Linked DNA regions of Danio rerio. The main gene of each other region encodes a partner of the protein of the gene in region 2 in a complex. Links are inferred from orthologs where the notes say so. Each region holds a gene or a part of one and is shown on either strand. Other genes may lie near its edges.

What was found.
Region 1: the proteins of thoc2 (region 2) and thoc3 are in contact, whole or in part, in a cryo-EM structure (PDB 7ZNL), measured with the Homo sapiens proteins. The link is inferred for Danio rerio from reciprocal best matches to the Homo sapiens genes THOC2 and THOC3. Residues at the interface, in NP_001075019.1 of Homo sapiens: Tyr395, Arg396, Pro401, Lys402, Gly403, Ala404, Lys405, Gly406, Ser407, Pro446, Ile447, Ala450, Arg454, Cys500, Asn501, Ala502, Cys503, Met504, Glu506, Pro563, Arg566, Gln567, Lys570, His573, Tyr603, Leu604, Thr605; in NP_115737.1 of Homo sapiens: Asp193, Met196, Ile208, Val217, Gln218, Asn221, Ala222, Pro224, Ser225, Ala244, Asp245, Ala246, Leu247, Ser249, Trp251, Asp252, Asp254, Glu255, Leu256, Val257, Cys258, Val259, Cys261, Ser263, Leu265, Asp266, Pro268.

Annotation. Positions count from the first base shown.
Region 1 is NC_133189.1:29,777,376-29,781,818, reverse strand, and holds the start of thoc3 (THO complex subunit 3), read right to left. Parts: upstream 2,963-4,443; 5' UTR 2,951-2,962; coding exon 2,771-2,950; intron 709-2,770; coding exon 552-708; intron 236-551; coding exon 31-235; intron 1-30. UniProt on the Homo sapiens protein: Component of the THO subcomplex of the TREX complex which is thought to couple mRNA transcription, processing and nuclear export, and which specifically associates with spliced mRNA and not with unspliced pre-mRNA.
Region 2 is NC_133189.1:13,018,608-13,022,437, reverse strand, and holds part of thoc2 (THO complex subunit 2), read right to left. Parts: intron 3,620-3,830; coding exon 3,478-3,619; intron 3,392-3,477; coding exon 3,234-3,391; intron 1,650-3,233; coding exon 1,521-1,649; intron 1-1,520. UniProt on the Homo sapiens protein: Component of the THO subcomplex of the TREX complex which is thought to couple mRNA transcription, processing and nuclear export, and which specifically associates with spliced mRNA and not with unspliced pre-mRNA.

The DNA.
Region 1 (4,443 bases), about 17 Mb from region 2:
CAGCCCACTACAATAAAAATAAAAGTAGACCTTAATATATTGATGCATCCATTGCCGTTGGTCAGGAAGAACATGTCATTGTCATTATTCCAGGAGATTTCGTTGACCTCAAACTTGAACTGCTCCTCAGCACGTGGACGGTGTGTTTTGGCATCAATGAACGTTACAACATCATCCTTGTTACCTACAGCGATGGTCTGACCATCAGGACTCCAGCAAATGTTGATATTCTCCCCTAAACATAGTCAGACAATCAATAAACCAATAAATAATATAATCTCACAAGAATAAAACATATAACATTGAAAGCCATAGCTCAATCCTCAAGAGTTTCTAAAGTTGAGTTTATTTTGTCTGTTAAAAACAACAGAAGATGTTTAGAAAAATGTTGGAAATTGCCATCCATAAAATGAAAAACAAATACTACGGTAGTCAATAAGTAACGATTTCCAATGTTCTTTAAAATGTTATATTTTGTGTTCAATGGTGGGTAAATGATGAGAGAGTATTCATTTTTGTGTAAACTATCACTTTAAGCTTTAGAGCTTCACCTTTTGTGCTGACTGTGGCCATGCATTTGGTGGTCCGCACATCCCAGATGCGGATGGTCTTGTCTCCTGATGCAGTAACGAACAGATCAGGGTTGGTGGGATGCCAGCACAGCTGATCCACACTGTCTCCATGCCCACGGTAGTTGTTTTCCTTCACCTAATACATATGATAATACATGAGCTAGATCACATCTAGTCAAGACAAATAAATTGTAAAATAATAAACCGCATTGTAGCCAATGCTGTGAATATTAACCGTTTTTTCTGATATAGAATAAGTATAGTAATGTTTTTGGCAAATGGATGACCTATAAAAGCTTGTTATTGCAGCTAAAACATAATTAATATGCATAATGTCAATGAAATGATAAGTAATTTTGCAGACATTAAATTAATTAGTAACTTGATTAGGTATTTGCCATTGACTTCTGTACAGGTCTGTCATTGAGATGTCACAATTGTCACAAGATGTCAGTTTTCACAATGTATTCCGATTGTGACAATGTTTATAAACTGGTAGTAATTCATTAGCTACCGATTATCATTAGAAACTAGTTCTTATTCATTAAGTACATACTGAAAAGATACTAGTACATACAACGCCATCTACTCATGTTTATTATATCTTTATTTAACTAGCACATGTTTAATTGAACACTTATACAGTCATCCAAAATAGTCAAAATGTGACAAGTAAAAATAAAAAATAAAAATCAGTAGTGACTCGTAATACTAGTAGCAACTCATAACAACTACATAAAAATACTTGTGCCAAATAAATGAGTACTAGGATACAATAAATAACTACTAGCATCTGTTAAAGAGGTACTTGTAATAAGAATGAGTTTCTAATAAATGATGGAGTATCTAATAAGTAAATACTGCTTTCTAAATAAAAACAAAGCATTTATTAGATATGACAGTACAACTTTACAATAAGGTTTCATTAGATAATGAGGTTACTATAATGAAAAACAACAAACAGTATTTATACATCTTTGTTAATGTTTTTTACTGAAAATAAGCCTCATTGTTGGTTCTTGCCAACTCACAGTGCATTTACTAATGTTAACAAGTGCTGTTTTGCATCAGGAGATGAGCGCTGTTTTGCATCAGGAGATGAGAGCTGTTTTAGATTTTTGTAGGCATGGGATTGTAGGTATAAGATTCTGACAGTAAGATAACCTTGGACAAAAATATCCCGGTTTGACGGTATTGTGATTACTGTTCTAAAATATATTATTTTTAAATGTCAGGGTAAAAGACTAAAAACTTTTTCCCCCTTTGAACACAATATATTTTATTTTGAGAAAGACTTTAAATATTTTAAAACAGTAAACATGTAAAACAAGTTTGCATATCTTTTCTGCTGGACACACTGTTGTCCTAAAACAACAACAACAAAAACCATAAATTAAAAAAAATCGTACATATACCATAGGAATGGTATAGAAGAAAATGTTGGAGGTTTTAAAACCTTGACTTTTCCTAACCGTGGTATACCTTGAAAACGGTTATTGTCCAATGCCTGAATGGAAGTGCTGTACAAGTTTTGTTTATTATTAGGTTATGCTGGTAAATTAGTTAACATTATCAATGGAACCTTATTGTAGAGCGTGATCACTTTGTGTGTCTAACAATTATACACTAGTACATATTGAAAAAGCCCTTATTTCCAATAAAATCCACCCAAATATCAGTACTTGCAGAATAACTAGTCATAGTAAAAATATGTACTAGACAATTATTAAAAACCTCACATTCCAATAACAGACTGCGATAGAAGTAGTTACTTGACACTTTTGAAATAAATACTAGTATGAAATAAATGAGAACAAGTGTGTGATGATGAGTAAATAGTATTTAAACAAAAATATACTATTCATACGTGTCTAATTAATGAGTAGTACCTATTTAATAGCTACGAGTGTCTAATTTATTGTCTAAAATGAATCTAAAATTCATCTAATGAAAACTAACTTGTAGTAGTAGCTAAATAATAACTGTTGGCTAAATATCAACAAGTGTACTGAATACGTATCAGTACTTAATGAAAAAGACACACATATCTAAAAATAGGTATTAACGTTAGTAGCATAAAACTGATACTAGTTTAGTTTACAGATTAAATGTTAAACAGCTTGTTCTACGCAGAACGTGGTTTATAAATTAAATATATGTTTTGGACAACGAAGGATGATGGAGAAGACAAAGCTCACCAGTCGGTCTTTTTCCAGGACAAATACGCTGGCAGTTTTGTCAAACGAACCGGACGCCAGTCGTTTTCCATCACAGCTCCAGGCCACCGAGTGCACTTTAGCACTGTGAGCCGGGAACTCTCTGCTTTTATTGTTATTCCTGAACACCTCCTGCATCTCCTGATAGTACGAGGACGCCATGCTTGAAGTTCTGCTTCGTCGCGTATTTAAGCTTAATCTGTGGCATTGCGTTACTTACCGACACCTAGTGTACGGGAGTGCAATTACATAATATTGTTTAAAAAAGTCTGATACAAATAACTTTCTTTTCTTTTTTTAGTTTTATTATTGTCAGGGTAACAATAACATCATCATACATTTGTTACAAAGAGAGCACATGAGTTTTACAGAGAAGTAAAACATCAAATAAGCACATACAAGGGAAAAAATTTACTAAAAAACAAACAACACATATTATAAAATCATGTGTTTTAAGGAAGCAATAGTTTTAATGTACTGTTGAAGTTCCTTTTCAAAAATATTAAAACAAAATATAGCCTAGAGTGAGAGAATTTACAGCTGTGTATATGGAATTTAGCAAGGATTAAAAGGAGATTAATTATGAAACACTCCTTACTTTTATTATCGGGAATATTGAAAAAACCCAACAGGATATCCTTAAAAGATAACACGAATTAGTATTTTGCAATGAATAACCAAAAAAAAGTTCAATCCAAAAGCATTGTGCATGAGGGCAAATAAAAAACAAATATATGATCAGCAGTTTCACTAGGGATACAAATCTTAAATTTAAAATGATGATATAAAATGAAAAAAAAATCACAAAAGTAAACATTATGAGATAAACAGTTAACAGTGAAGAAATTTTATTATTTTTTTTTGTAAAAATTGCTATTAGGTTAAAAAAATGACAAAATATGAAAATGTGCTAATTTGTTATGAATGTGATAAATAAGTTGAAATGATGGGGTAAACATTGTGAGATGAAAATCCTAAATCAAATAATGGTCAATTAAGAGAAGGTCAAAATTATATTATATCTCATAAAAATGAAACAAAAGGTTTGTATTATGCCAAAAGTTCATATAAGTGTGAAGTACAATCATAGGTCTACCAAATCTAAGTAAACTAGGCTAGGCTATAGGCAAAAAGCTTTGAAAACATTGAGATAAATAAAAATGTCAAAACTGTCAAATGTCAAAATCATGGAATATGAGCTATATATAATTTAAGCCAAAAGCCTCATTTATAAATCAGATCATTTAAACTTCAGTCAGTGGCCTACTGTGTTTTATGTTGTTTGTTAAATTGTCTTCTCGTGTAATGGAAGAACTCAAAGTCAGGTCACTGTGGTAGGCTACTTTGGATGGTTGTAGGAACTTTAGAAAGTCAGGAGTAGCTACATATAAAAATAAAGTTTATTTTCTGTGTACTTTGTGTAAGTAGTTTTGTCATCAGTGTTTTTGGTAAAGAGGACATCAGTTCGCGGGCAGAGTCCATGGTCAATCCACGTACAGCGCTGACTCCCACTGACCACACGGCGGAGCTCCATCCTCCTAATAATATCCAGTGCACTTCGGTGAGGGAGAAGTCGAAGTGGATGAGGTTGTGGAGGTTGGCTTCTTTCGTCTATTTATCTCCAATAAATATTTTACAAATACAGATGGATGACT
Region 2 (3,830 bases):
TTTTTTCGATATTACCGAAGTCGCATGACTCGGTAAAACTATAGGTCTCCTGAGAAAATTTGCTCAGGCGAATGAAGCGAACGGGACGTAGCTGAAACTTCATTTCCCATCAGCCCCGGCGTGGCCATAATCCTTTGCGGTCTGTTGTCGCTACAGATCCAGTAATGCGGAAATGGAGTGTGCTGCTAGTAGCGGAGATGAAAAAAAGATGGAAATGATCGAACCTAAAGCGGGTGTTGTCGCCGCGCGCGTGCTGAATAGCGGTGCTGTCGCGCGCGTTCTGATCAGCTGTGTTGTGGCGCGCGTTCTGATCAGCTGTGTTGTGGCGCGCGTATTGTAAAGCGCCGAGGGGGGGTTGAGCGCGCATATTCAAGAGAGGTGTTGTCGCGCGCCTACTGAAGGGCTGGACTGGACGGAGGGTGTGTCGCGTCGCGGGGGCACTTTTGATCGTTTTGGAAGGGCATTTTCTATCCAAGACTAAAAAGGGCATGTGCACTGCACAGGTTGAGCCCTATGTGTGCACGTGCCTGCAAGTTGGGGAATACGACTAATAACAGTCATGGGGACTGCAGAAACACAGCACACTGTTCAGATTGATGCAGACATTGACTTGTACTGCAAAGAGACCTCTATCTCACTCATGATTTGTCTTCTCAAGTGGGGGAAAGACAATGCACAATGTTACCCCACTGCTGTCAACCTGGGCCAAGTCATATCTCTCTTGTTCCAGAAACCTCAGTCCCAAATGAGAGGGGTTTTTTTCTGTTGCAGGGGACATTGTAAATGCCCAGAGATACCAGCTTTTACCAGATTATAATTATATGATAATTTTCCTTTAAACCCATCTCTATCTAAGTGAGTGAGTGATTAAATGTTGAATGTGATGAGTTTTCAACAATACTAAATTGAAACTTTATTTTTTTACATGGTTTAATATTTTTTTGTTATTAAAATTGAAGTTAGTGTTTCAAAGCTTACAGATAGATGGCTAATTTGTATGTCATTGACACTTTTGGCACTTTTTTTGGAGTATTTTCAAAAGTTTTTTTTTTCCTGTAAATGATTCAATAAATACCGTACCGTGACATTCATACCGAGGTATTACCGAACCGTGAAATTCTGATACCGTTACATCCCTAGTATGTATGTATGTATGTATGTATTTTTTTTATGAATTTATATATATTTTTATTTATAACAAATTTACCAGTAAGGACCTATTTACACATACAGACCTTTCCGGAAAATTGCTGGTAATTTTCCAGAAAGGTCTGTATGTGTGAAAGGGGCTCATTTCTACACGTTTCTTAAAATCAGAATAATTTATTGTTACCAAGTTTCATTTTAAAAAGACAAAATCATTTTGTTATTTAATAAGTAATTACTGCAAATTATTTTTGATTTCGTCATTTTTTTGTTTGCAAACATCTAAAAATTCACAGTTCACAGCTACTACTAGGACAGTGTAGAGACAGCATTAACAGTTTAAACGAATCATCAATCATAAAGGCACACCATACCTTCTCATAAATGGCTCTGTCACTGTGCCATCGAGTGACAGTCTCTAACATGCAACACAAAAAACGACCATATCGGCGGGACTCATTCTCTGTGCAACTCGCTACCGTATAGATGATATCAGAGAAGACCTAGATGAATAAAGAAACAGATTTAGAGGGTTAGTAGGTTGACAATGCACACAGGGTCATGGATTTTTAATGAATATAAAATGATTATAAATACTTTGAACATTTAGATAAAAACTAAATGACAGCATCAAACTTGAATGCTAGATAATACTGTATTCTCTTTGACTGCAGTCACTGGCACAGAAACACATGGCAAGCAAGCTGTTGTTTAGCAGAATTAAGGGTGCTTTCACACCTTTGAATCGATTCAGTTGTCCCGAAACAGGGATTAAAATTGTTACATTGTTGCTCTTTGCTCTTGGTCCGGTTCGCTTTCACACTGCAAAGTTTATAAACGGACCAAAAGAACTAAAACAAGTCATGTGTGAGTAAACTTTCCTCACATAGAGTCCTGCTCAGCTGTCAGGTGTGGTAGTGATTTGGTATTGTTTGACAGGGTGCACGCGACGTGTCTGAAGAGCGAGGAAGGATAAGGTGGGAAGGGGTGAGAAGGGTGTGCAACGTATTTGAGGAACGGGAGGGAGATGCGTGATTTCCGGGACATTATCGCTCGTTTACGGGCATCCTGGAGTCTCTGTGCATTTGCGGCAGACCTCCGAAACTTCTGGGAGACTTGGGATGTCTGTTGAATGACCTCCCGCCCTACTAATAATTTTCTTCATATAGCCATATGCCTATTATAATATCCATAAAACACTGTGATATGACTGGGCACGGATCGTATCGCTTTCTCGCTACAATCGATCCACTCCAGAGTTCGTTTCAATCGAGCCAAGACCATCTCGGAGCTATTGTTTTGGCGCAGATCAGAGCGCGATTGGTGGTTTCACATATGCCAAACGAACCGCGCTAACTCTGCAAAATGAGACGGGTTCCGAAACAAAAGTCTAGGTGTGAAAGCACCCTAAGATGGCATTTTCATGAAGAGATTACACAACTGAGCATAGCTGTGATCGTCATGCACATCTTGTCAGGGAATCACAGTTGTGTGATCAATAGTAAATCTACCAAGGTCAGAGGGCACTTCAGCATGAACAATAATTACATAATTACAGAATAATCTAAAAGAAGCATTTATTTTAGATACTCCTCATTTGTAGTAATTTCACATGCAAAATTTACTACACAGCCCTAATTCATTGAGAAACAATACAGACACCTCTCATTATCTCGGTGTCCTTACTGTCCAACTAAATCAGTTTTGACTTTGTAGCTTGTCCATTTGGTTTATTTATTGCCACATCAGCAACTTATTGCCATTGGATGGCATAATCAATAGACATTAAACATTAAACAATTGACATTTTCATGTCAATATATGATAAATAACTAAAAATTCTCCCTGGGTATATATTTTAAATTTGTTGGTTTATGAAGTATGATTTTGAGAAGTAAATGCTATTCTGAAAGCATGTGCTGGAGGTTTACTACAAGCAGCTTTATAAACAAAATGCACATGAAAATCCACTCCAATTAATTGCCCAGGAAAGCCCAGACCAAACACACACACACAAACAAATATATATTTTATAGCCTGTTTGTTGAAAGTGCCTTTAATGGTCTGTCATACAACAGTAGACTCACTCTGTCATAGCAAAGTAGGGTGCAGAAGTTGGGCGTTTTCTGCTGGTGAACCAGCTCCACAAAGCGAGCGCAGTAAACAGCATCAATGGCTGAGAAGACACAACGGGGGAAGATGCAGAGCTGAAGGAACTTAGTGATGGTTTCATTCTTAGTGGATTCTGAGGAGGGAAAAAAAGGCATGAGTCCAAAAAAAAAAAAAAAAAAAAAAAAACCTGAGCACAAAAGAGATTATTCAAACACTCACTGGCGAGTAACCAATTGTCTTTCTCCAGTTTGAGACGATGCAGAACTCTCTGCACATGCTCCAACTGTTTCTTCTCCTCTTCTTGTAGCTTGTCCTGCAGAGCTGTACAGCGTTCCTTCTCCTTTTTCTTTTTATTTGGAGGCTACAATGTAGAGAACAGTTTTATGAGAAATATCTGATGGAAGAAAGACCCAAAGATTCAGCAGTGTCTCTAGCTATGTTATGGTGTTAGAAATATACAAGAAATTGAAAATATCTAAAAAAAAATTAAAAATAAAAAACAATGAGCTGAAAAATCAATCTGGAGAGTTTGATCGGCAGTTTCCACAACTGCCAATACAGAAGAGCTGATC